Mytilus edulis: one gene and its partners. The main gene of each other region encodes a partner of the protein of the gene in region 2 in a complex. Links are inferred from orthologs where the notes say so. Each region holds a gene or a part of one and is shown on either strand. Other genes may lie near its edges.

Evidence for each region. Proteins that work in one complex are often made in the same cells at the same time.
Region 1: transcription initiation factor IIE subunit beta-like (region 2) and DNA-directed RNA polymerase II subunit RPB2 share a complex: the UniProt entries of both Homo sapiens proteins name them as parts of the TBP-based Pol II pre-initiation complex. The link is inferred for Mytilus edulis from reciprocal best matches to the Homo sapiens genes GTF2E2 and POLR2B.
Region 3: transcription initiation factor IIE subunit beta-like (region 2) and general transcription factor IIF subunit 2-like share a complex: the UniProt entries of both Homo sapiens proteins name them as parts of the TBP-based Pol II pre-initiation complex. The link is inferred for Mytilus edulis from reciprocal best matches to the Homo sapiens genes GTF2E2 and GTF2F2.
Region 4: transcription initiation factor IIE subunit beta-like (region 2) and general transcription factor IIH subunit 4-like share a complex: the UniProt entries of both Homo sapiens proteins name them as parts of the TBP-based Pol II pre-initiation complex. The link is inferred for Mytilus edulis from reciprocal best matches to the Homo sapiens genes GTF2E2 and GTF2H4.

What each region holds. Positions count from the first base shown.
Region 1 is NC_092347.1:65,787,934-65,795,474, forward strand, and holds the start of DNA-directed RNA polymerase II subunit RPB2, read right to left. Parts: upstream 3,006-7,541; 5' UTR 2,848-3,005; coding exon 2,829-2,847; intron 1,959-2,828; coding exon 1,732-1,958; intron 1,383-1,731; coding exon 1,270-1,382; intron 1-1,269. UniProt on the Homo sapiens protein: Catalytic core component of RNA polymerase II (Pol II), a DNA-dependent RNA polymerase which synthesizes mRNA precursors and many functional non-coding RNAs using the four ribonucleoside triphosphates as substrates.
Region 2 is NC_092344.1:17,771,612-17,778,792, reverse strand, and holds the start of transcription initiation factor IIE subunit beta-like, read right to left. Parts: upstream 3,004-7,181; 5' UTR 2,905-3,003; intron 1-2,904. UniProt on the Homo sapiens protein: Recruits TFIIH to the initiation complex and stimulates the RNA polymerase II C-terminal domain kinase and DNA-dependent ATPase activities of TFIIH. Both TFIIH and TFIIE are required for promoter clearance by RNA polymerase.
Region 3 is NC_092346.1:81,244,258-81,252,166, forward strand, and holds the start of general transcription factor IIF subunit 2-like, read right to left. Parts: upstream 3,006-7,909; 5' UTR 2,938-3,005; coding exon 2,851-2,937; intron 1-2,850. Other genes in the region: replication factor C subunit 4-like, read left to right, coding at 6,380-6,489. UniProt on the Homo sapiens protein: TFIIF is a general transcription initiation factor that binds to RNA polymerase II and helps to recruit it to the initiation complex in collaboration with TFIIB.
Region 4 is NC_092345.1:75,550,053-75,556,892, reverse strand, and holds the start of general transcription factor IIH subunit 4-like, read right to left. Parts: upstream 3,006-6,840; 5' UTR 2,882-3,005; coding exon 2,766-2,881; intron 1,219-2,765; coding exon 1,114-1,218; intron 300-1,113; coding exon 168-299; intron 1-167. Other genes in the region: valine--tRNA ligase-like, read left to right, coding at 3,215-3,448. UniProt on the Homo sapiens protein: Component of the general transcription and DNA repair factor IIH (TFIIH) core complex, which is involved in general and transcription-coupled nucleotide excision repair (NER) of damaged DNA and, when complexed to CAK, in RNA transcription by RNA polymerase II.

The sequences.
Region 1 (7,541 bases), on a different chromosome or scaffold from region 2:
AACTGATATCATGACCTCTTAAATAGTAAACATTTTAAAAAAAAAACCAGTAGAGTGGACAGAATACTTCGGAATCATTACTCCATATAATAATTGCAGTGATATTGTTGTCTATTTTCAAAACTACCTCTACCGTTTTTTATTGGGAAAAATGCATATTTTTTATTGAAATTGGGAAATATTATTCTAAACACATCTCCGATTATTGGCTGACCTTTGCTGTCTTTTTTGCACTGTTTTTTCATGTATATTTTGGTTGTCAGACATTTTCAACCCGGAAGGTTCTTTTCGGAGAGGGGAAAGAAACAGAAGCAATGATGGTACTTAATGCATTGAAAACCACATGTGTTACAAACACCATGATGATTCTGATCAGAAAACCGGATCTCAAAAGTGCTTTATAATATCAAAATAATAACATGAATACGATATTTACAAACATTACTACCAATGCCATCAGTTTTGGGAAAATGTAGACCTTTTTGGGAGGAATTTTAAGCCATTTTTTTTAGTAATTGGGAATTTTCTCTAGGGGAAAAGGCCGAATTTCGGCTGTTATTTGAGGCAAACAATATCACTGAATTGGGAACTATATTCCAAGAACAGGAACAAAGGGAATTAATTGTGGTCTGAAGACTTCTGTATACTATGAACATACCGTCATACGTATATTAATAATAAAGTGTATTTGCTTTCAACTATTAGTTCCAAGTTTCCTTTCCAAGGCAATCACTGCTATAATTACATGTATATAGAGTCTCTATATATTATAGTAGTTTAATCATATATAGTATACATGTAGATAAACGCAAAATTATTGACCTCTCTCCGAGTACTATGAAAATCATCTGCAAGTTTAAATCCAGAAGTCTTATCTATGACTAAAAGTCGGTCTGACGACGGTAACAATATCCAAACGCCTTTTTTTCGTTTCTCTCTCAAAAGAATTCAATTTGATTAAGCATAAGAATGGATGACAAATGCGACTATGCTTGGTACTTATAGGACACAGAGGCATGATGATTGATTTATTGTGGAAGGAAGAGAAGACACACAAAATGAGGTCTTCTCGTTTAATAGTATAGTTGTGTCAACTTTAAAAAGATTCAAATTTATAATGTCACAATCCCTGAAGGTTTATTTATTCCTATGAATTCAATAACCAGGACAACTGAAAATTTTTTGGGGTTAACCAACGTAAAAGACTTATTATTGCGCATATAGTTACATGTACATGTAGCATTTTTCCATATAATTTTTATAACTTACGTAAGATTCCTTAGTCGTGCCTCATTTGGCATCATAGGACTAGGAGCACCATCTTTTTCCCAATGAGTTGGTTTAGACAGATAAATCTGTTCAAATTTCAACAAGTATCTAGGCTGCAAAATATAATTTATGTTTATTATGGGTTCTACTATCATGACTATAGATTCACTATATAATGTGTCCCTGTAAAGTGTTTGCTTATAACAATGTTTAAACGCAAAAACATATGTAACAAGAAAAATTGCACAAGAAAACAATGTTATGATGTTTACACACTTTTCGAACATATTCATTTTCACTGCTTATCTGTTGATGCAGGTCACAGATTATAAAAGATTTATGACAGATGTACATTGTATATTTTTAAAGTAGTTGAACTTCTACTCTTTACAACCGAAAATATATTAATCTTTTAATGTGACCAAATTAGCTATACTAAGTGTCTTGTCTGTATTGACTTACTGGAGTTTCTACACCACCAGATTTATGTTGTGCCTCAGCCTGTAAATCTATCTGTGGTGAATCTTCTACGATTCTCTGTACTGACATCTGAATAAACTCATCAAAGGAATCTAACTGCTGTCTCACCAAACCTTTTTCGTCGAAGTAGGAACTGATGACAATCCAGCAGGCTTCCTGCCATAAATCAGGGGTAATTTCATCACTGTCCTCCTCTGCCTCATGCATATCTACAAAATACATGTTTTGTTTATAAGTATTTGAATAGGAATAGGGTGTGGAAAAGCAGATAAAACGTAAAGTAATCTAGGTCCGGGTCCGACTCAGGGCGAACATGTAATTAGGGTGAACAGACCTGATACCAACGTATAGGGGGCAAACAGACCCAATGCCCAGGAAATCTCCCTCTTACCCAAGCCCTATCCCCTCCAGTGCAGGAATGAAATTAAGTGATCGTTAAAATACATGTTGTGTGCACATTGACATTGGTTATCTCCATTGACCATTGTAGGCAGTTACTTTTTATTTTATTCAAGTATTACGAAATCCCGACGTTTTTTATTTTTGGATTGTTTGATTTTTCCTCGTCAAGTATTGTTTTGGTTGTTTATGTTGTCAGTTGAGACAAGGATTTGTATAGTATAGTTTACTTTACAAATCCTTGGTTGAGAGGATGCCATTGGCTATTTTTTTCTGTTCTATGGACTGTCAGTATCAGAACCTATTCTCTAGACTTAGCAATGGATAGTCTTTCACCAGCTTGTCAATATCTGTAAAGTTATTTTTCATACTGATATGTAAATACCTTTGTTGTCATTTAGTACATCAGTTTTATCAAAATTTCTTCAGAGCCACTCACTCGAATAATTTCTTCATTTATTCCCCAAAACTGTAAACATGGCCCAATGTTTTCCCCATTACTGTAAAACCATTTTTAATTAAATCTTCTGGTGATCTCTTTATCATACTTAGATATATATAATCATAATAACTGATTTACAGTTTAGAGGACTTTAGAGAGATTGAAAAAAAAAATGCAATGTTATTGTTTGAAAAAGGTATAAGTACTCCAGGGGCGATGTGTGTATATCAGTTCTAACCTTCTTCTGGTAAATACATGTTGGTTTCGTATAATTTACAACCCTTTCTTTATATTCAGTTAGTTTTCGTATCAGATGACTGTGGATTTCACAACTAACTGACGCGTTTGAAATGCGCCATTTAAATGCCGGCAATTTGAGTTATTTATACATATAAACATCTGTTCGATACTTCTCGGGTTTTTAAAAAAAAAATATGATGATGACCGCAAAAATAAAAGGGACATTATATACCACTACGACCCTAAATGTTTTTATTCATCGACATTATTAGTGCGGTGACAGAAGTGTAAAAAGTCGTCTAGATCGCGAGTTTAATCTCCCCAAATAACACACGGCTAAAAATGGTCTTAACTTAAAGACAAATATGTCTTCTTTAGTTTTCGCCCTTTCGTCAGAATTTCGTACGGTCACTTTTTTCTAAAAAGTCGTTTTAATGACTGGTAGTATATTGGAGAGTTTCAACCCCCCTGTTTCAAAATGAAAAAAATGTGTATGTTTTCTTACATTTAATTGAAATAGTTTTTCCTGAAGCTATTTTTATATGTCATAATATTCCATTCAGTATTTTATTTTCTTCTAATCTATAAAATTTGCGAAGTTTAGACTATTTGAAATTGAGGTAATTTTAATTGCAAATTCAGACTCAAACTTTAGTTTCCTCTTCATAGTAGTAATAAAAATTATCCCATAATATTTTAAGCATATAATATTTAATAAAACTAATTAGTGATAAAAATTTCGGAAACAAAATATGAAAAAACCTTAAGAAATCAATGAAAAAAGAATGAAGTAAATATCTTCAATTTCAACACGGAACTCAATCAGTTGCCTTCCGTCACATTTTGTGTATTAGTCAATAATTTGCTCTCAAATGATATATGAAATTACTACCTTTTTCGCTATTATATACACATATTTTCAATTACAGTGCACTGATATATGCCACATACTTTGTTTGTATATGTTTATATTCTATGTTTTTTCGTTATAAAACATCAAATATACTTTGTCAGAAAAGTCTTATTGTAAAATTAAAATAATTGACGGATAGTTTCAGTAAATACTCCGTGATATGTCAAGTCCTTTGCAACTTGCTCCATTAAGTTCAAAGAAAAGACAAAAGTCGTTGCATTTTATGCAGTGCATAATATGCCAAATAAAAAAACCTCGATTGAAATTTTGAGTCAATTTACCAGTTTAGGGAAGTCGATTTTTGTATCTGCATTGCATAAAAGATTGGATGAGGTGATCATGAACATCAAGCTGTTTCATACAATAGCTGTTAATTTGAAAAACTCCGTGCAGGCAGTTATTCATCGTTCATGCTACAAAACTTACACAAGTAAACATATTTGTTCCCCCTTTTAGAGCGAGGAAGATTCTTGTCTAATATTTAATGACGACATACAATTATCTGACTGTTGTCCCTCAGTTTCGGGCAGATATTTCATTCCGCTGCAAGTTTACTTAGAAAAGACATCGAAACTCTAAAGAAGACTACCCAATTTCGGATGAATTTTCTCTTCGTTTTTAATTCAGCCAATGCCTTCGTATTTATTGCAATTCATTCTATGGTTACTCAATGAAAATGCATACAGCCAAGACTATTCTCATGATATGGCACCGGAGAAATTGTGGAAATGCTTAAGCAATTGTTGAGGCAATCGTTTTTGTTTTACTCCTTTTCATTTAGGATTGGCTTTACAAATGTACCATGAGTTTGGTTCAAAACATCTTGTTGAAACATTTAATGCCAATGGATTTTATGCTTCTTAAAGTAAAGTGCGACGCTATCTAATGTGTTGCCAACCATGAAATTGAGCGAATTCAAGATAGTGCGTACGTCTTGTATAATGTTTCCCCAGCATCTTTGCAGACAAGCATATGGATGTCATCACACCTTCCTAAACCTCCTTTTAGATCTCTTTTAAAATCTTGGATGAATTGATAGGGATGGTTTGAAGCTGGTATTTTTTTTAGGAACAAATGTGTTCGGACTTTCTACAATACCTTGTCTGTACTTGAAAAGAAAAACTCAAAATAAAGTGTTTGCTTTGAGCAGAACCTTTCATGTGCAGACCTGTGGCCATAAGTGAAATGTGTAGAAATATTAAAACATGTCTTGTGACGGTTGGTGAAAATGAAGATGATGGAGATAACGGTTGGTTTGGTATAAAGCTTGTTGCACTGGTACACACGATTCCAGTCCGAGGTTAGGGGAGTGTTGACGTGCCCTTAAAAAAGTTAAACCCCGCCAATATCTGTATGTGTCTGTTTCAAGTCACGAGACGGTAATGCAGTGTTTCTATATTCTATATTTGTTTTTTTCTTATTTATTTTGTACATTAATCAGGTCGTTAGAGTATTTGTTTGTTTTACATTATTCATTTCGGGAATTGAAGACTATGCAGTATGAATTTTACTCATTGTTGAAGCCCGTACGGGACCTATCATTGTTTTATGTCTCATTTGGTCTCATTTGGAGAGTTGTCTCATTTGCAATCATATCACATCTTCTTTTTTTTTATATGGAATACTTTTGAAGTTTGGGGTACGTTGCAAGGGATAAAAGGGGGGACATAGTTACAAAACCTATAATGTAATAGATATTAACCAGAGTTAAATACACAACAAAAGATAATACTATGGTAGCAGTAATAATTGTGAAAAAAAAAACCCAAAAGCAACGAGTAGTCTATAAAAAAACTGAAGTATCCGCAAATTCAATTTGAGGTCATATTTGACTGTAGTGTTCTATGGCTTTGTTTTGATGACTCACCCACTATGATAGTTTAAAAAATAATTTTAAAGTATTGTCCTGCATGACACTTGATTTTTACCTGAAATTGATATTTTTCATAAGGTTAAGGTGCTTTAAACATTTTATAGGTTGAAAACTTGATTTTTGAAGTTTTGTTTATAAAACGTGGTTTTAGGATCTTTTTTGATAAAAAAAATCTCAATGATTAAGGTTTATGTATAAAAACAAACATTACTTAAGCCAAAACAGTATCATTTATATATAGGTAGAGTTTAGAAATAGAAAAAAATGTCAAAATTGAAACCCTCCCAAACTTTCACAGATTTTTACATATGACCTTTGACCTCAATTTTAAAAAAATGTGACCACATCAAGTCCTGACGACAGGCATATTATTATAGTACACGATTTCTTCTTTCCAATGATATATTATGTAGATGTGTGTTCGGTGGGGAGATTAAATTCCAAAAAATCTGCCTTCAGTCACCGCACTATATGGCACATATTCATCAATAAGAGACACAAGCAGCCTAAATCCGCAAAATCTTGTCTCAAACGCTAATGACAGGCATTTCATGTCTCCGTTTTCTTTCTTTTTACTTTTTATATTACATATATAAATTCTTTCGATTGTTAAGCAGTCCTGACGCAGTTTTCTTTATTTTTTCTTCAAGTTTTATAAATTTTTCTTTATGCTGTGACTGGAATTTTTTTTTAAAAGAGGGGTGAAAGATACCAGAGGGACAGTCAAACTCATAGATCGAAAATAAATTGAAAACGTCATGGCTAAAAATATAAAAGACAAACAAACAAATAATAGTACACATGACACAACATAGAAAACTAAAAATTAAGCTACACGAACCCCACCAAAAACTGGGGGTGATCTCAGGTGCTCTGGAACGGTAAGTAGATCCTGCTCCACATGTCACGGGCACCTGCCGTGTTGCTCATGTTATACCAAACCCGGCAAATAGTCTTATTCAGTAGGTCATATTCATGAAAAGCGAAGGGGATTGTAGTTTTAACGTAAGGGACATATATATATATATATATATATATGATATCATCTGTGAAACGGGCAAATTATTCCATGACGGTCGACCAACTCATGATGGCGTCCGTAAAATTTACGAAGGAATGATTTCAACTTGACCTTTTTGAACTTATGGTTTAATAGCTTATTTGTGAGCAGCAACTCTGTGAAGAATATCATGATAGGAAATACAAGCACGGGAATATCGTATCAATTGGGAGATCAATTGGGAGATATATACTACTTAAGTAACTAGTAAACGTCAAACTGCAAAGCTGTTGTTTATTTATTAGAGTTAGATAGTAAGAAATAAAATATGTTGTCAATCAAGAAATCAGGCATCTTGATAATGTCAGTTTCAGAGAATTTTTAACGTTTTAAACGATATGATTTTGATTCTTTTATGTTGACAGTTCACATTTTATAGTACTTTTCAAACGTGAATATTAAATTTCATTCTTTACAAAGAATCTGCAAAAATAAAAAAAATCACTATGATATTGCTGGTGGCGGTAAAATAGCCATTTCTATAGAAAAAATGCTATTTTGCAGGCTTGAAATCGAATATTTTAATCAAAGCTGGCAAAATAGTCACTGCCTTTTGATCACTTAAATGCATGTTATGTTTAAAACTTGTTTTATAAATGTATTCTTGTTCTTATTTCACGGTATCCTACATTACAATGACAGTAGTTTGCTGCACCACTATCCTTAATGTTCCAATGGGAATAGTATATATAATGTTCCAGTAGTTTTCCGCAGCATCAGCATTATGTTTAAGAGGGTAAGAATATGTTTATCATCGGTGCTAGTTAAAGCCTGTCCAGGGACAGTCTATACTAGTATAGAAAGTCCCTGGACTGTCTTAAACATACAGTGAGGTGAGAGGATTTGTTTTGCTCCGTGTTGTATG
Region 2 (7,181 bases):
AATACACATTGTTCGCGTTTCAATTCAGTTATATGGTGCCCAGGAACTGAAGCAGTTGACAGTTTTAGTCAATATTGGGGAAATGACAACAATTGGTTGGTACCCCCACCTTCTTTGATTGCAAAAACAGTAAACAAAATGTGCAATGAGCGTGCTAATGGTATTTTGGTTATACCAGAATGGAAATCGGCGGCATTTTGGCCTTTACTTTGTGCACAAGAAATTTTTAAGAGTTTTGTTTCAGACGCTATTTATCTTACAAATGACAAAGTTATAGTGAAGGGTGCCGGTAAAAACGGCATTTTCGGGAAATGGCCACTTAAATTTAGGTTGATAGCTTTAAATATTATGTTCTAATGATCCATATTTGCGATTTTCAGGCTTAGGACTGAGGCAACATGTTGTGGAGATTGTAGAGAAGAGTACTGTAGGATGTTCGGTTGAACTTGGAAAATTAGCAGAAAAGATGTCGGTTTATCTTATCCAGTCTAAAAGTGACAATACTACAAAAAAGTACTTTGCTAGTTATAATCGTTGGATATCTTTTGCTCAAGGATATGGTTTTAAAGAATTACCAGCAGATCCGATTCATGTTTCATTGTTTTTAACTTTATTGATTGACAAGAAGTCATCACCTTGTACTTTAGATTCGATAATTTATGCTTTAAAGTGGGTACATGAGCTTTATGGTTACGTTGATCCTACAAATAACGCTTACATTCATTCGTTAGCTCAATCATGTAAAAGATTAAATGGAAAACCAGTCGTAAAGAAGGACCCTGTTACCTCGGATATAATACTTGAACTCTGTAAAATTAATGAATTTGAAAATGACTTGCTTATTGTTAGAGATTTGACTATGATTTTGATAGGCTATGCTGGATTTTTGCGCTTTGACGAATTAAGTTCTATTACATGTAGGGATGTTAAGATTTTTGATGATCATATTTCTATTTTTCTGCCCCGGTCCAAGACCGATCAATACAGACAAGGTAACGAGATACTTATTTCTAGGGGTAACACTTTGGCATGTCCAGTTGTTATGTATAAGCGATACATTTCACTTGCTAGTTTGGATGTTAATTCGGATTATTTTATATTTCGACCGATTTTTAGGTCTAAGGGGTTAGCTAAGTTGATATATAAGAATAAGAAGTTAAGCTATACAGCCACAAAAGAGAATATTGTACGTAGATTAAAGACTGTAGCTCCTGACTTGAACCTAGGTTTGCATTCTTTACGTTCTGGTGGTGCTTCTGCAGCAGCCAGGTCAGAAGTAAATGAGAGATGTATTAAACGTCATGGAAGGTGGAAATCAGATATTAGCAAAGATGGTTACATTGCTGATTCCTTAGATATGAGATTATCAGTATCTAGAAAACTTGGTTTATAATTTGGGCTCTTTTCATCCCTTTCTTTGTGATCTCTAGATTACGTTGGGCAGTCGGCAAATATATATTTGGTTATTGTATTAATATTATGTATTATAGTGAGATTTATGGTATAAATTGCAATGAGATTACATCAGTAAAGTGTGTACTTATAATTTTCCGCGTTTCGCAGTATAGAGGAAAATTATTGTACTAACGTTCCGTCTGATTAATCATGTGATTATCACATGTTTACATGTACATGTAATAAATGAGCGGGAAATAATCCCGTGGAGTAATCACTCTCTACCCAACACTGATACAGTCAAGTTTCTTAACGATATTTGTATATATCGTTTCTCATTAATATTTCATATCTAGATCTTAATTGGGTTTTTATTATGTTTGTGCAATGTATTATTGTTTCATGTTTCACTTTATATCATTTTTTTGTTTTATGTCATATCTTTAAGTATACTGTCCAAGTATGACTCCGGAAACGGTCTTTCGAGCATATTAACTTTCGACTAAGTTAGGGTTTGGACACAGGTTTCCAACGCCGTCTATCGACATAGTTGGTTTTTCCTGGCCGGCGGGATCGTTAAGGATGGAGAAATTTTGATGATTTATAATTATTAATTACAACTCAGTATGTTATGCTGTATGGTTATATCACACATGCTGTTATATTTCACATGTCATGTTTATTTATTTGTAATAAATTCGGTGTCCTCTAGATTACGTTGGGCAGTCGGCAAATATATATTTGGTTATTGTATTAATATTATGTATTATAGTGAGATTTATGGTATAAATTGCAATGAGATTACATCAGTAAAGTGTGTACTGATTATTACCAAGTTTAGCTATATTTGTCTCAATAGTTTCATAGGAGAAGATCTTTGTACGATTACAACTTTTACCATAACCAACCCAGGATAAAAAAGGGGGGGGGGGGGTGTTCCAGCTATATGTCCCCATTCAAATGCCCAGAACCCCCCCACCCCATCCCCTGGATCCGCCAATGCATAAACTATAGTCATGATTCACTGCATGATAGTGAAAAGGTGTATTGAAAAAAAAGGCCAGAAAGTAGTGTTAGTAATAAAACCATGACATCTTCTAATGTTATCTCTTATGGGCTGCTGTGTGTGGAACAATTTTCTTATTTTGCCGCCTTGAAAAATAGCTACGGACACATTATCTGTGTACAGGTACAGGTAGTCTAAAACGACTTTAAAGGCTGACAACTGATTGCGACAATGCCTTACTGCTACTAAGGCATCAAAGCAAAAAAAATATGACAGCATTTCAACTTTTCAAGACGTGATAATTCTTTGGAATAATTTTACCATGTTTACCGGCTGCTTATGGTAATTTTTTTTCAATTTCTTTAATTTATACCACAATAATCGATGTGACGCTTCAGATGATTGAAAAGTCTAATTTTTTTTTGTGAAATGTAGCTTGTTATTCTACAAATCAAGTATTAAAAGATTGTTAATAATCAGATTTACTCTCGATATAAATTCACCATTCTTTCTCTGATATCTGCTGTTAACCTTATGATATGTTAAAGGAAGATATACGTCGTCGTAATGACAGGAAACCAGTAAATATTTTAGGAAACCTCAAGTCGATACCGGAACAGAAACGGAAACAGTTTCGTAAACGCAATATCAAAATGAAAAATTCGTGACTTTGCGATACAAGTGGGATATTTTTTTTTCTGTAAAAAAACTCGAAATACCTACTTCTATTTCAACATGTTTTAAAGGGGTGTTTTTTTAATTTCTACATCTACATCTACATCATACGACGATCCATCACTACATTGATGACTACACGTCGGCGCATCGCGGCAGACACTTAATAAAAAGTAACAATCTAATGAGTGCATTAATCAAAAATTTAATTTGTGCAAAAATAACAAAATAAATAAAAATAACTCATTTACATATATGTACAAACAGGGTGGATGACTATTATAATATACTGACTTTGGATCAGTATTTTAAACTGATCCAAAGAGTTTACACTAATGATGTTTTGTGGTAGTGAATTCCAGCAAGAAATTGAATATTTATATACAATTCCTTGATTCCAGAGTACAACTGTGTATGGAAAAAAGCTGTACTTAAAGTAATCTGTTCTGGTGCTGAAAGTTTGATATTGTAGTGAATTGGTGAATATGGTGTTTTTGACTCGCTGTGGTGAGAGGTAAAGGTTTTGGTCTACTGCTATAAGTTGGTGTGTGATCTTATACATCATTGTTACTCGATTGATGTTTCGGCGAGTTTCTAGTGACTTCCATTTAAGATGGTCAATCATGGAAGTGACACTACTGGTGTTATGATACCTGTTGGTGACGTACCGTGCTGCCCTTCTTTGTACCTTTTCAATATTATTTTTTTGTTTTGGGGTGTTAGGGGACCAAACTGAAGAGCAGTATTCAAGGTTTGATCGTACCATAGGTTTATAAGCCAAACTTTTTGTTTCTTCCTGATTAATTTTTAAGTTTCTTCGTAAAAAGACTAATCTTGTTTGCTTTAGCCGTGATGTTGCTTATATGGGTATCCCATGACATGTTGTTGGATAACTTGATACCAAGATATTTTGCTCTGTTGACTGATTCTAAAATGTGGCCTTTAAGTACATAGTTATGTTTGTATGGTGACTGAGATCTTGTTACAGTTAGTGAGTTGCATTTTTCTGGGTGGAATTGCATACCCCAAGTTTGTTCCCATTTGGCTAGGCAGTCTAAGTCAGTTTGTAAGATGGTACAATCATGTTGGTTTTTAATTGTTCTGTACAAAATACAGTCATCTGCGAACAAGCGTGTTTTTATGTTACTGTTGCAGGTAGGTCATTTATGAATATCAGAAAAAGAAGGGGCCCCAAGACCGAGCCTTGAGGCACCCCACTTACCACAGGCATTTGACCATTTAAACTAAAAAAAAATAACATATTTCTCTCTCTTAAATGCCATCATGTTTTAAAATTACTGGAAAAAAAGAAAAACCCGAGTGACTATTTGTCTGGCTGGTCGTATTCTAACAAACAGCTGCACCCCGAGCGCATGATACGCCCGTAGTCTTTTGAAATAAAACTGAAATCCGCTTTTGGAGAAACTGCGCAAAATGTGACCAAAAAATACTACTTTTTTTCTTTTACCAAAAAGCTTAATAAAAATTCAACAACTCAGAAATTAAATAAAGAACCATCACGAAAAAGTATACAGATCTTCAAATTAATATAACTAACACTGGTGTGAAGTTTTATGCAATAATCATAAATAGTTTCTGAGATACGACGCGGCATGTGAAAAAAACACCCACCCCCTGTTTTAGTTTCAAAGTCCTGTAACTCAAAAAGTTTAAATCTTATTTTCACTAAAAAGTATACAGATCGTTTGACCATCATAAGAAACAACTACGTTAAGTTTCATGAAAATTGGATAAGTTGTTCTCAAGTTACGGTGCGCGAACATGTAGGCGACGGACAGACGGACGGACAGATAGACGAACGGACAGATAGACGAACGGACTGACAGACAGACGCCGGACTTTTGTATACCATAAATAAAGTTTTACACTGAATCTATATATTTTCAAACGGCTTTGAGACGAAAACATTATCGAAAAAATAAAGAAAACTGAACTTGCGTTTCAAGTTAAGAAAGGGTCCGGGAAAAGCGCAGAATAGCATGATTTTCATCCTTATTTTCTATAGCTGCTCGGGACCTTCAGTGGCCCAAATTTCTTTGCCGAAAAAAAATCACTTCGATCGCGTTCTGCATGCCTGGCACCTATGTTTAACATTTGTTTTTAAAAAAAAAAAAACTTAGTCACAGCCCAACTTTAATACAGGTTTGTACGTATACAATAATTGCAGTTTAGAAATCAGAAGATTCACTTCCAGAGGATGCATGATGATTAATTCTGATTAAAAGCTACATAATGACTAGATCCTACATGTGCTTCTATTTAAGAATAAAAACATTAATTTAAAAATTGTGTGTTTTAAAGTATTATTAAAACTAATATAGTTGTGAAAATAAACAATCAGTCCGGCCTTGTTTTAATGAAATTCATGCTTCAACAGTCTACAAAAATAAATAACCAAATAACCAAAATCCAGCACCCCCCCCCCCCCCCCCCCCCGAATATTAAATGATCGTCTCCGTCCCCTAATCGAGAAAGACATACAATTTCCTTCATTAAAACTCGTCAATGGCATCACACTTCAGAGTCATTTTCATGTTTAATTTATTGATTGTGTTGATTTGAAATGTAATGAGCATTGGCAAATTTTTGAGAAAAATGTCCAAAACAGTAAAATCTGCTGTTTTAAAAGGAAATACAGGATAAAACAATCACTGGACGAAAAATCCAAATTTTAAAGGTAATCAAAGAGCAAGTCTCCATTTCAATGTTGTCGTTCTATTAATTATTTTGTCCTTATCTATAAATTTGTCCCAAATTCATGTGTAAACTCTGTTAATGTCACATGAAATAATGATTTTTTATAAATTGTCAAGTGTATTATAAAAGTTCAAGTGTCTGGCCTGGGATCGCTGCTCTCAGCGTAAAAGTACAATGTTGACTGTAAGAAAAAAAAAGATTCCGTTTACACAGTGTAGATACTATTCTGAACGCTATCCGGAAGTCGCGATTTTCGAAGCGAGAACTTTTTGGATCACATTTTAAATTTGATGGGTATACTGAAAAAAAAACGGTAAGTTGATCATCTGTACATTGCTTAATGATTAATTCAGCCAACATCGATATTCTCAAATGGTTTAGAATTAAATTCCACACATTCATTATTCGTATCTTTGCCTTAATCAAGAGATTTTCAAGTGCATCACTAAAAAAATCAGTCGGCGAACCTAAACACAATCTTTTTACCCTCTTAGTGTACAAATTAACGTAAAAAACAGACTTAATTAACTAAATGAAGTATATTTCAAGTGGTGTTAAGAGTTTCAACCAGATCTTTGAAGCCAGAAATAAGAAAATTACACTTGTTTGAATTTCTCACTGTACGATCAGTCTCGCTTGTATATTTTAAAACTGTATGATCAGTCTTTGTGTCATTGTATTCTAGTGGTGATTTCAAAGTTATTTACGATACATTAGAAGGTGGCATTTTTCTAAATAACACAAATATATTTAAATACATTCTCATCCTAAAAACTTATGAAACATTTTTTTTTAGCTTAATATGGTGTACTCGACTTACTACATTAAGTATAAGGATGTTTAAATGTTGCTAAAATAAGAGGAAGGTTTGATGTATACTAGTATATAAGTTTCAGAAATATCCTCCGTTATACTTAAAATTGTACAAACACACAGATTTAGTTGTTATATAAAAATGCATGTATTTACACACATTCGAGGCCGTACTTTTAGCCTATAATTGATCACAGTTCCTTCACTTTGTTTAAGATGTAGAGCTGTCTCTCTGACACTCAATTGTACACCACTTTGATAAGCGGGGGGTTATAGTGATAAAGAAGTCCGTCTTTCCGTTCGTCCGTTGGACCGGTACAATATGTTTCGCCGGTTTTGTAAGCGCATCTCCTCATAAATCACTTTATATACATTGGGGGTTCCGGCCATTTTTAAATGGAGAGGGGGTCCAATCCAGGAGAAAAGGGGATTTCAAATATATGTTTCCATACAAATGCATTGATAGTTAAAAAAGGGTTTCAAACTGCCGGATCGCCTTTTTTTGAATCCGTCACTGATATAACTATTAATTAATCTTATTCGGATTCCTTATCATAAATGATAATGACTGTAT
Region 3 (7,909 bases), on a different chromosome or scaffold from region 2:
AATTCAAAAAATTATTATTTTTTGTTCAATGGGCAATAACTCAATCACATAATAAGTCACATATCTGAATTTGAAAAAATTTCATCAAAGCATTTTCATGTGAATGAATGGACACTGTTTGGCCCCACCTGTCCAACATACATCCCTCATTCTAAAATCGAAAATATCTTTTAAATTAATATTAATTTTAAAAAAGTGTCACCTGTATTGGTGGTTGTACATGAACATGTATGTCCACTTTTATTGGACCACACATCAAGTTAATTGAACCTTTATTGTTATTTGTTTGAGAGCAGCCAAAAAGTAGTTGTAAAACATTTGGACGCAGATTCCTTACAGAAATAATACACCTTATTGCTATTTAGAAATCTGTCCCACTTGACCCGAGAATCTGTCCAAATGAACTTTTGACATCATCCAACAATTACATGTACTTTCCATGCATTGCGGCTTCAGATACTTTGTAAAATTTTCTATTATGACGTCAAAATTTTATGAGAACTTTGTGATATCCAGTAACTGCTGAAAAATAGTGATTAGGTGATTGCTGGCAAACACTAAAATAATAAATTACATTTCACTAGATAAATTATGTCCTGACTCAGTTTATCCTTATACACCTTATTGCTAGCCTATCTGTCCGCCATTACTGGACATCACATAAGTTCCTGTAAAATTTTAACATCATAATAACAATATTTTGACGCCACAGTGGAAAAGTGATTGTTGTAAGATGTCAAAAGTTCAAGTGGGACAGACTCCTCTTCTTCTTCTTCTTTTCGAAGTAAGGAACCAAATTCATATTGAATGTGTATGGTCCCGCGAAAACTTAGCGCAGTACCTGGCAAGGCAGCAAGTCTTCTCAAAGTTATTTACATTTAAAACGTTCGCCAATTTACAATTAAAATTATATACACTCTATGCTGTCCACTTCCTTCCAGAGCCTGCTTTCAGAGCATCTCTGAATCCCTCTATCGAGTCAGCCGATGTTGTTTTAGCTGGAAGTTGATTCCAATCCCTGATGCAGTGATGGTCTTTGGGAAGAATGACTGTCCATAGGTGTCAGTTTTTGTTCTTTCCTGGTAAAAGCGGCCTATACCTCTGGTCCGACTGTCATTGGTTATTAGATATTGTTGTCTATCTATATCGATATTATTAAAGCCTGTGTTGAATTTTAAATAGCATATTTCCTGGGTCAGGCTGGACAGATTTCCAAATACAAACACATATGTAGCGATATTCAGATAAGGTGTATACATGTGCCTGCCATGATCCATTGCAATTAATTTTTTTCTTCTTCTTCTTTAAGGTCAACAAGGCTTCAATACTGAAGAATACATGTTGTTGCGCATGCGTGATTGACAAAAATTTATACAAAATTCATAAAAATAATTTATAACAATTGGAGTGTTTGTATATACAGATTTTGATTAAAAATATATGTACATGTTTTGTTTGAATTTGTTTATTTGAAGCTAGAGAGAACAGCTGGTGTTAGCGGATCTCAACAGTGGTGGTTTCAATTATAGTTTGTGATAGTAAATTCCATGGATCTCCTGTAGTTGGTGATCGCAATACTGGTATACAAGTATTGTGCACAATACTGGTATAAAAAATTTGTACCAGTATTGTATTCCAGTATTGTACCAATATTGTGTTTTTTTAAATAAACAATACATATATATATATATATAGGTAATTAATCTTTTATTGATTTCACAATAATCCTCTATAATCTTTTTGTGTTCATTTAATCTCCCTTTGAACTTCAAAATCTAATTTTGCTTAAAATTAATTTTTCATTATACACCTTAAAGTATAGTCAACAATTATACAACTACAATACTGGTATATCAGTAATGTACCAGTATTGTTGTTTTAAAAAAAAAAGTTACAATACTGGTACAAAATTTTTATACCAGTATTGTAGACAATAAATATGCCTTGTTGTATGATCATTTGATTTGCACTGTAGTCTACAGGAAATTTTACAACAGTAGCAGGTGGGGTATCGGGATCGTTCGCCCTAGGTTCGTTCGCACTGAGTTTGTTCGCCCTGATAGTCCGTTCGCCCTGGGTTTGTTCGTCCTAAATTCATTATTGATATATATATGTTACATCAATGAACGAAAAAATTTCGAAAGCAAATTTACAGATCTAACATTGTTGGGTTGATGATTAGACGAGTTGTATATACATTATGTACACAGCCATGTATCACCATCATTGCTGGTGATCCGATGGATACATCTGTTGTAGAGTTGTCACTGACTCAGACGTACTTATAAATATAATTATTTTCTGTGACTGTATCTTGCATTAATTTGTAGGATCCTTTACTATAGATAATTGAGCTGATCTGTAACAATAACATCTCCATGCCTTATATATCATGTACTGTAGTACGCCGCTAGATTAAAACTGACGAGGAAAGGTAACACACAGCCACCGAAAGCTTTATATTTTGTGAAGCCCAGGTGGTCGTGTGGTCTAGCGGGACGGCTGCAGTGCCGGCGATTTGGTGTCACGAGATTTAGACAAAATAACACGATACATCATAAATATTCGGCGAAATTGAAGACTGACTTCAACACATTCAATTATATACACACAACGCAACACTATACTAAAAAATAAAATCAGGGCGAACGGACTCGGGGCGAACAGGTATTAGGGCGAACAGAAACTAGGGCGAACCAGAATCAGGGCGGACGGACCCGGATTCAGCAGGTGGTACAACAAAGTAAACAGGTAAACAATAAAAATATTTTCTCAGAAGGGACTACATGTATCATGACTATGCTTTCACTGCTGTGTGTCACAAATAAGTGATGTAACAAGTGAGTTTACCTTAACCAACCATACACCTCTTCCTGCAGCATTAAGATCTACATCTCTTGGGGTATGAGCCTTCTCAAACTCTGGGGGCATAGACATTACAGCTGAAAGTTTAGTTCTTTAACGTGAAGGTACAAAAATTACATGTTGTGAATAAAAGCTAAATTGTACGGAAATTTCGCCTCAGAAATTTCGACATCAAATCTGTCTTTCATTGCAGTTTTTTAGTGGGGAATTATAAATATCTGACATGATGAAAAATATAACCAGTGTTTTGAAAAACAAGATTCAACCAAAATTATCGTGATCACAATTTGTCTTATTAATCTTCCTTTTACTCACTCCACAATTTTTTTTAGCGGGAAATAAACTTTCATTGCAGAACAGCTGAGAATCGATTGCTCATTCACCAGTTCACATCAAGATAATAATATTTTAAAGACTAAAGTAAACAAAGCTGCTCAACCTAATACAATAACCAAGAAGTATTAGAATAGAATAATTTTTTTATATTCATATATTTTTATATATTTTTTTTTATATTCATATATTGCATACATCTATGATACACCTCTGCGTTAAGTTCTGTCAAATTTGTTTATTACTTAGTTTATGGGGGTCTCATTGAGGGAAGGGGGGGTTCTGATCCTGCTTACTGTTTTGTCAGATTCCCGTATCCCGCTTACAATATCATGACTATGCTTCTGCTTCTGCCTGATAATGACCACAATCAACGAGCTGATTATTATGTCATGACTGAGGTGCGCATGCAGACCCCCCCCCCCCCCCAATTTCAATAAATTAGTTCAGCTTTGTCAGTGAGGCTTTAAAGGCCTCGACTGACGGTGCTGATGCTACCCCAGGAGGGAGAGCGTTCCAATCCCTGATTGTTCTTGGGAAAAATGAGTATTTTCTGTAATCACTTCTGCTTGCTGGAATTTGGAAACTTTTGTCGTGCATGTTCCTCGACAGTCGTGTTGGTTGCATAAGACGACCTTCCTTAATTACAGCCACTTTGTCGTGTTCTATTTTATAGAGCATAGTTAGCCTAGCATCTTTTCGCCTTTTTTCCAGAGATGGCCATTCCAGGTGCTCAATCATTTTGCTGACACTTGAGTGATTATGGTGTTTGTTGGAAACGTATCTTGCTGCTCTTCTCTGGACCATTTCTAAACGATCTATTTCGGTTTTAAAGTATGGGTCCCATACTGGACTTGCATACTCTATTATTGGTCTTGCAAGGCTTTTGTATGCATTTTCTTTTACTGAGGTTGCTCCTATATTTAGATTTCTCTTTAGGAAGCCTATAGTCCTGTTGGCTTTGTTGCATATATTATTGATATGATCATTCCACTTCAGTTCGGATGTGAAGGTGCAACCAAGGTATTTAGCACTTTTGACAGGTTCCAGTTTGTGACCATGCAATGTGTAAGATGTTGGAATGGTGTTGTTTTTGCGGCTGATGGTAAGAACGTTGCATTTGTCCGGATGGAAGGACATTTTCCATTTGGCTTCCCATGTTCCTAGTTTGTCGAGGTCGCTTTGAAGGTCGTTTGAATCTTTGTCGGATGAGATGGTAAGATATGCTATTGTATCATCAGCAAATAGGCGGACAGTGGATTTGATCCCATCTGGCATGTCGTTGATGTAGAACAGGAATAATGCAGGACCAAGGACAGAGCCTTGGGGAACTCCAGATTCTACATCAATATGTGATGAGCACTCTCCATCCACAACCACTGCTTGCGTTCGGTGTGATAGGAAGCTGGCAATCCATCTATTGGTTTTACCACTGATACCGTAATGTTCTAGTTTGTGTACTAGGAGACTGTGACCGACTTTATCAAATGCCTTTGAGAAATCCATTATAAGAACATCTGTCTGTTTACCTGCACTCATATTTTTAGTGATGTCATCCACGAATTCGATTAGATGAACGTAAGCAATTCTCCTTTTCTTGTAATTTCCTGTGTCCTGCTATAGCCTATACAACATTTCCCGTTTTCACGGCACAATAATTTGACTTTAACGTATCATGCTGACAAAAAATCAGTAATCCCACATCACGCTTAGATCCCAATGAGACCCACCTTTATGTCTTCAAAGCACAAAATAATTATTGATGTTCTGTTCAAATCGCAAAAACGTTGCACAGAAAAAAATCTGGGAAAAACGAAGCACTCAAAATAAAATCTTTTAAATATTAAGGAAAAAAGTAATTTACTATTATGAGGGAGGGGCCTGATGGGTTATTTTCGTTCTTTGTGATCGGCACATTTTCGCATGATCCATTTTTCTACAGATTTTTTTTTTTATATTTTTGTGATCGTGATCATGGAAATTTATTTTCTGTGAATCATGATTGACAGAAAAAATCAACCTGTGAATTATCATTGATACCTTTATCTAAAGTTGTAACACCACTAATTCGGGCCCGGCCAGAAAGCACATACCAGAATGCTGTTGCTGATGTTGCACACTTCAAATGATGCACTGCCTTTTTACAGTTAATGTCAGAACATTGAAAGTGAAGTTTAATATCTTTTTTTAAATGTCGATCATTGGGATGGCTAACTGATTACCATAATTGAAGCTTTGTGTCCAAGACTTGATAATTAGCACATATTTTCCACAGTCGCCTGAAGATTTCAAGCAAAATATGGTTGAAATATTTCCCCCATTTTTTATTATTATGAAATCTTCAGGCGACTGTGGCACATCGTACATGTACATGTAAATATTTATTGAATTCATAGTTTATTTATGATTATGTACTTATACGAATAATAAAGTTTTATTTTGATTCGGTTTACATATACATGTATAACAATACAAACATAAGCTCTTAACCCTTTTGCCGATGAGTCCCGTTTTACCGGGATCGGAATACCTCTTTTATATTTCCTGCTAAAAACAGTGCAAACATGAGTTATCTTTCTTTGTTGGATACCCTAATGAAAGTGTAAACATGGCGCTTCTGTTTGTTGAAAACCATGTCAAAATCCAAGGAAATTTACGGAATTAACAAGAATTTGAAATGAGGGAACATTTTTTTTGAAAGAATATGGAAGAATTGAAGCCAAATGTGTATACTTTTTTTTACATAAAATGTCGTTTCATGTACAAAACACTTGGAATGGACATCGTTCAGTGTAAGGAATTTGTACAGCCTCATTAATATTTTATGAAGAAAAAATTATCAAAACATGAACAAAACTGTGAACATGGTGTTAGTGAATGAAATAAAGACACAAATAACTATAGACAAGTTTTTATTGACATTTATTATGAAGATCTCCCACTTGAGTAATAGTAGCCAGGGAAGCCATCGTCTCAGAGTAGCTTCTTTCTGGGCAGCTATCGGTGAAAGGGTTAAGAGCTTTTCACCGAAGATAAAATAACATTAAAACACAGACAAGATATATAACAGCACAGGCATATGGAAATACATGCAAAGCACTACTAAAATACATATCTAAACTTGTAATAATCATGACACTAATGTATATATGCAATATGTATGTCATTTTAGATTTCTACAATGCAAGCATTCTTGACTGGAAAATCTGGTTTAACCAAGACAAAAGATAAACCAACTTCAAAAGAACCAACAAGAGAAAAAAGTAAACATGTTCCATGGGTGGAGAAGTAGTAAGTATTGACTGTTGTATTAGTTTCTCAACTCATTCATAATCTTACTAAAAAGTAAACATGTTCCATGGGTGGAGAAGTAGTAAGTATTGACTGTTGTATTAGTTTCTCAACTCATTCATAATCTTACTAATAAGTAAACATGTTCCATGGGTGGAGAAGTAGTAAGTATTGACTATTGTATTAGTTTCTCAACTCATTCATAATCTTACTAATAAGTAAACATGTTCCATGGATGGAGAAGTAGTAAATATTGACTGTTGTATTAGTTTCTCAACTCATTTATAATCTTACTAAAAAGTAAACATGTTCATAATCTTACTAATAAGTAAACATGTTCCATGGGTGGAGAAGTAGTAAGTATTGACTGTTGTATTAGTTTCTCGATTCATTCATAATCTTACTAAAAAGTAAACATGTTCCATGGGTGGAGAAGTAGTAAGTATTGACTGTTGTATTAGTTTCTCAACTCATTCATAATCTTACTAATAAGTAAACATGTTCCATGGATGGAGAAGTAGTAAGTATTGACTGTTGTATTAGTTTCTCAACTCATTTATAATCTTACTAAAAAGTAAACATGTTCATAATCTTACTAATAAGTAAACATGTTCCATGGGTGGAGAAGTAGTAAGTATTGACTATTGTATTAGTTTCTCAACTCATTCATAATCTTACTAATAAGTAAACATGTTCCATGGATGGAGAAGTAGTAAGTATTGACTATTGTATTAGTTTCTCAACTCATTCATAATCTTACTAATAAGTAAACATGTTCCATGGATGGAGAAGTAGTAAGTATTGACTGTTGTATTAGTTTCTCAACTCATTTATAATCTTACTAAAAAGTAAACATGTTCCATGGGTGGAGAAGTAGTAAGTATTGACTATTGTATTAGTTTCTCAACTCATTCATAATCTTACTAATAAGTAAACATGTTCCATGGGTGGAGAAGTAGTAAGTATTGACTGTTGTATTAGTTTCTCAACTCATTTATAATCTTACTAATAAGTAGACATGTTCCATGGATGGAGAAGTAGTAAGTATCGACTGTTGTATTAGTTTCTCAACTCATTCATAATCTTACTAATAAGTAAACATGTTCCATGGATGGAGAAGTAGTAAGTATTGACCGTTGTATTAGTTTCTCAACTCATTTATAATCTTACTAAAAAGTAAACATGTTCATAATCTTACTAATAAATAAACATGTTCCATGGATGGAGAAGTAGTAAGTATTGACTATTGTATTAGTTTCTCAACTCATTCATAATCTTACTAATAAGTAAACATGTTCCATGGGTGGAGAAGTAGTAAGTATTGACTATTGTATTAGTTTCTCAACTCATTCATAATCTTACTAATAAGTAAACATGTTCCATGGATGGAGAAGTAGTAAGTATTGACCGTTGTATTAGT
Region 4 (6,840 bases), on a different chromosome or scaffold from region 2:
AAAAATCTTGGGTGAGGTGACAAATAATTAGAACCACACAAATCATTCCAATACAAAAGATGATGTCTCATAAAAATCAGGCATTTTGACTCTTCTTAAACATAAACTTTTGAAATAAATCTGTATTACATTTGCATTAGATAATTGAATATTTCTTTCATGTTTACCCTCCAAGTAAGGCTATTTTCATATTCTTTCTGAAAGTTTGATTCATTTTCCATCCTTGAAGTCCACCAGTCATAGTCTCTTCGTGCCATACTCTGAGGTCAGTTAATGCTGTTACTGCTTGTTTCTGTTCACTGTAATTCAAAACATTAGTGACAAAATTCAGTACTTTTTGAAAGACCAGAATGTATAGACACTGTTATTTTACAATGTCGGATTACTGATAAATGGATGTTCAGTTTTATACTTTTTATTGATTCATTTTGGATAGCTAGTCATTCTAGTGTTGTTGGGTTGCACTTGCAGTCTCATTGATGTTTTTCTAACATTTTGATTAGTTAAAAATTATTTGTGTTTTTTCAATGGGTGATTCATGTACACAATGATGTACAGTAGATACAATTGTACTGTTGATGTGATGTGATGCTCCCAAATTTTGTCTTTGTTACCTTACTTTGTCGCTTCTGAATTGATTTACAAGATGTGACGATTGGTAAACTACTTTTGACTTGATTTTTCAAATTTACATATTCCTTGAACTTGGACTTCTTAAAACTTGATTTTATTGTCTCTATGTAAACTCAATTTGTAATAGTAAAATCTACATTTAAGGAAGGCCAAGCATAAAATACTATACAATTATCTCCTAATTTACAGGCTTCTGACTTTGGACAGCCACATACAGAATGTGGAGTGTACTTTCATATCAGGGCCTTTTATAGCTGACTATGCGGTATGGGCCTTGCTCATTGTTGAAGGCCATACGGTGACCTATAGTTGTTAATGTCTGTGTCATTTTGGTCTCTTGTGGACAGTTGTCTCATTGGCAATCATACCACATCTTTTTTTTTATATTTACCATGCTTACAGCATGCATGCACGGTTCACATATATCGACAACTTTATTAGGCTTTAAAAGTGTTCAGTCTTACAGAATTATACACTTACTCTTGGTATTTGCTGTTAACCCACAGATTTACCACTGATTGTGATACATGTTGTTCAATAAATAACATCCGCATAACATAGTGCTTGGATAAATCTGGTAATTGTCTGAAATTGAAATAAACTAAACTATACACTATGGCGGAGGCATAGAATCGAAAATGCCTGTCAGTGTCAGCCAGCAAGGTTTATTTTTAAATCTAGAATTGCTACTTCTCTTTCAAGACAATTTGGCTACGCAAATAGTTTGGCCATAGGCTGATCCGGCCATAGTACCTGTTAAGATTTAAATGTTGTTCCAAGAAATTGTTAGGTTAATTCATTTGTTATTAATAAATTTAATTATTTAATGTCTATAATACTTGTAGATACTATTTTTGAGTACTTGATGAGCATACACTGAATGTAATGTTGTGCTCAAATAAATTGTAAATTTTCAAGTTTATGTTTTATGATGTTAAGCTTTTGATGTACATGCTCATATTACTTAACAAATAATCATGATAATCGTTTTGTCATAAAGTGTGGTCTGAAAGTAGACTATTCCAAATGATTATGACATATTGAAAGGCTATTTTATTTTTTGTGCCTAAATACTGAGCAGTATAAAGGCGTTAAAATCAAGAAAAAATAAATACCCTTTCAAGATGTCATAATTCAAGACATGATATATCCCGCTATGGTGGTAAGTCTTTCGCCTACATGTATTGACCTTTTTTTTTTCTTTTTTCGGTAGGCTAATAGCTTTGATATTTTTTGATCTTTCAACATATTCACTTGGTCAACATAATGAACATTGTCATGATAGTGTGCACGTTTATTTGAAAAACAAAACTGTAGAAAAAATGATAATTTTGATGATTCTGTAATATATGAATTCTGTTCTTGTAAAATTCGGTCATGAATTCGTTGTTTTATTTTACAATTTGCTTGGCCTGTTTTGTCTACCACTAACATGACTAAGATTGATGACGCTGAATGGAATTACACAAAGCAATGGAGGCTTGAAGTGGGATATTGTGAAGTTCTGAAATGTTTTTAGGAATTTGAAAGTCAGGTTTGAAACGGTCATTAGAGAATTGGCATTTTTGTACAATACTTTGGAATAACAGTGAAAACATATCTTTAGAAATGTATTCTTTATTTACAAGAGTAGAAAAAACGTATTGTGCACTAATTTTGAACGCTGGTATTAGCATAGTGACATCAATGTGGTTACCGTGTGATGAGTACAAACACAAATACCGAACGAACCAAATTATAAGATGACAGGTTTTAGACTACCGATAGGATAGTTAGTGGACAAGAGACTTTTGTATGACATGCATTAGAAAAAGACATTTTAAATAATGTTTCAATTTAACTGTTGGTGCATTACAAAGTATGACCGAACTGTCAGTATGGCCGAAATACACCTTATCGCTAATCCCGGCTGACCCGCCCGCTTGAACTTTTGACGCATACAACAATCACTTTTCCATTGTGGTGTCAGATATTTTGTTTTATGACGTCAAAATATTACGGGAACCTGTGTGATATCCAGCAATGGCGGACAAATAGCGATAAGGTGTATAACAGACCGAAACGACTGTGGCCGAACTGGCAGTCAGGCCAAAAGTCAAAACGTCTTGAATCGGTTACTTCGATGGACATACCTAAATACAGCCAAGCAAGTCGCAGGATGTGAATATAGTTTGTCTAAAACATGCCATGGTAAAGTTTTTAAGTAACCATGCAAATTTTTACAGTCCAATTTTCTTGTAGTTGCCATGCTTGCAAATTTTTTTTTATGATTTTTTCTTCTTCATTAATGTCAATAAATATCTTATTTTTTCTCCAGAAAATCGTCTTTTTTTAAACGCACAAATGACAATGAAAAAAATAGGACTAAATGTACCTTTCTACACAGGAGAACTCATTTCACGTTATTGCTTCGTTATCGAATTATAATGCGTAAAGTCATAGAACATTGGTTAATTCATTTGAAAATCAATAATTTCATTCAGTCAAATATTTTTCGACCCATATTGATACAGAAAGAATTGAGAAAAATAAACAAAAACATGGAGAGCTCTTTAGTGTGGAGGTACAAAATTGATTAAAGATGTCAGCCTCCTGGTGCAAATTGAAAACAAATTATTTAAAGTTCGGAATTAAGCTTTTTAAGCTACCTTGCCACCGAAATAATTTGATTTTTAATTCAGACATACGCCTTAGAGCATTATGCTCAATTTGTAACCAGAATCATATTCAATATTTTAAAACTGTAGATAGTCGAGAAAGTTTACTCCTTTTGAGGCAATCATCATCTTCTGTCAAACGGGATGTTCCCAAAAAGGTAACTCTCCTGTTCACAATTTTTTAAGCAGTTAAGCTGCTTTATGCGAGCACCCTAGATTTATGTTCTACCCAATAAATGCTGAAATATGTGCCGCTTTTATTTTCTGGCTGGCTATCATGTTATTTATAACTAATTGGGCATTTTTCCATACTTTTTATTTTAGAATATAAAAAATATTACCATAAAAACGTTAAATGGTCGTCGATTTTCCCAAAAGTTTTGAAGTTGCACATAGGAAGTAGTGCTCGATAGAAATCCTTCTATAGTTTATTACCCCCTGTGCTGTGGGCTAAGATGTCAAAGAACAATTATATGAAATATTTGATCGCTGAAAATCTATATAGATGAGTCTTTTACATTTCCCAGATGGCAAAAGTCGTAGGAATATTGTTTGTCATCGATACGTATCACATACGTCAGTAGTCTATATATAAGCTGATATAAGTTGGCGGCAATTTCAAATTACATAGAAGACGAAATTTACGTACCTTTTAAATTGGGAGAATTCTGATGATACATCGGTACTTTTATTATTAATCATTTTATTCGTTTTTTTGTCTGATTGAGATTATTTAAATCATCTTTATTCAGTAATCTGTAATGAATGCTCATTTGTTTTCTTTTTAATATTATTCCGATTTCTAGCAAATCACCTTCATGCTTGTCAAATTAAGTTGTTGTTATTGTAGTTTTCTGATTGGTTGATGTCAAGGTCATTTTAAGATTGTTTCGCTTTGGTGTTACACAATGTAACATAATTCTACACGTGCTTTGCTTAAGCTCGATGTGGTTCAATAAATATTGTGATGTAAACTTTAACAACTGTTTTCTAAAGGACGGCATTATTTAACTTCAAAGTCGCATATTTTGTAAAATATTAAGTCTGAATCTGTGACGCGTATCACACTGTAATTGTTTTGATTTACAAGGACTTCTCGATTTCCGGTACAGAAAAATACGACTTTTTTATATGTTTCTTTTTATAATTTTTCACATTTAAACACTCGTTAAGTGTTATTGAATCAATTCTATGCGGTTCCTTCAGCAACTTTATGCTGGTAAACGATTTCCCCCTGAAAATAATAAGAAAAGAAATCGCATGATAGGATAAAAAGGTAACGAGTCGATTAACGAGACTCGAGAAACGTTTAATATGTTTTCAACAAGTTATAGTTACAAACAAGTTTTTCTTAATTCTTACTATTACAGTTATTGAAAGTTTAAATAAATGTTTTTTTATTATGATATTAGTAATGGAAGACAGTTAAACCGTAATCAACATATTTTAATTCAGTTATAATTTGAGACGTAAAAAAAATCGAAAGTGAAAATGGGGAATGTGTAATAGAGACAATAACCAGATCTTAGAGCAGACAATAGTCGAAGGTTACCAATGGATCTTTAATGCAGGTAGAAACTCCTACACCCAAAGGATTGTTTTTGCTGGCCCCTTAACACAATAACCATGATAACAAAAATGTAAACTATTTCAACTAGTCACTTGTTCAGGTGGAACTTTATAAAATTTTAAACCAGAGGAAGAACAAAGTAACTACAATGTAGTTAATAAGTTCTGGAGAACTTTTCGGCTAGTTAGTTCTTTCCGCCTGGAACTTTCCAACGTCGGAACAAAAGAGCATTTACAATAACTTGGACATCATACTAAAATCAGAAGTTATACACAAGAAATTAATAAAATTTTTAAAAATGTACAAAACAATTATGAAAAATAAATATGATATACAGCAACAATCACCGCATTAGTGGGTCCTCACTATGGACAGGTACATACAGAATGTGGCGGCTTAAACATCTTAACTGGCACAAAACTCTCCCCTAAGATAGGACAGTGTATGTGTATAATCTCAGACATTGAATCTTTATGAATATAAATTGGAAATTACTTTTGAAAGTGGTAGGATTGCATAACATAAACATTACTGTACAAGCATTATTTGATACTTTAGAAATAGCTGAGAACAATGCCTGAGATAAATATTTCGACTAATTCTTTACACTATTCATCTGAACTTGGCCAAGTTTGCCTTTGGGTTTTTGATTAACTGCCTATAGCACCCTTTGGTGCTTTGATTATTTAACATTTCCTAAGACAGACACTTTTATCTGATACATGTAATGAGGCATGTGTCATACCTTTGAAAGAATGTGAAATCTGTTTTAGTATAATATGAGGCAGGCATTACCTGTCATGCCTGTAAATGGGGACAAAGTCTGTCATGTCTGTATGCATTTTTTTTTAATTCAAACATGTTAATAAAAGGAAAGGAAATACTGTTACATATCCGATTTTGGTTCTGTTGTAAGGGATTTAGGTGTGACGTTAATCAAGTTATGACATCATATTCAATGTAAACAAAGAAACGCTTTCATCAGGTAACGTTTTTTTCATATTAAAATGAATTGGTATTGAGTTCCAATCCTATATTTTAATATACTGATATTAAATATATATTTTATTCAAAGTCTCATGCATACAAGACTGGAAAAAGGAAATAGATTTCTGCGCAAATGCATGGATTTAAAAAAAGTCATTAGTTTATTGAAAAATTCAGTAAAATTTTCCTGATTTTAAAAAAAAAAAAATTTTAATTGATTTTTCTTCCGTAATAGGGGACTCCATCCCCAAATGAATGATTTTTGTTGAGCATGTTGAGCCTGTGACTTCTGCAGCAAATAGCTTGACATAGGTACAAAATGTATAATGATCCTGCTGCAGCTTTAGCTATCTTCTTAAAAAATGTATGTCGAAGAAGGTGGAAGACCTCATCTGGATACTTCCTACTTTGATTCGAATGTATATAGATTTAGATGCCTTAATTAGTTTATGAAGTTCCAGTCGATTCGAATGTATATAGATGCCTTAATTAGGTTATGAAGTTTCTGTTTGTCTTATGTCCATCATCCTTAACCTCATTTTCATGGTTCATTGACTTCTTGAAAAAAAATAAGTTAAGATTTTTTGTAATGTTAATTTCTTTCTTATCATTTCTCCTCTGTATGAAAATATTTTAAGATGTACACATTAGTCTGGCAGGTTTAATTTTACCTTGACCTCATGAATGGCTCATTTTCACAGTTCAATGCTCAGTGTTAAGTTTTGGTGTATTGGTCTGTTTTTCTCAAACTATAACCAATAGGTCAACTTTATTTGTAGTATGGAAATATTGTAAGCTGTGGTGTGTATGTCTGTCTGGCAAGCATCATTTGACCTTGACCTAATTTTCATGGTTTATTGATCAATCTAAAGTTTTCCTGGTTACATGTTAGATTTTTTCTTAGATACAACTATAATTAAAGCAAAGATTGATTGTAAAGTGAAAATTTCTGTCTGGCATGGTTCATCTGACATTGACCTTATTATTATGGGT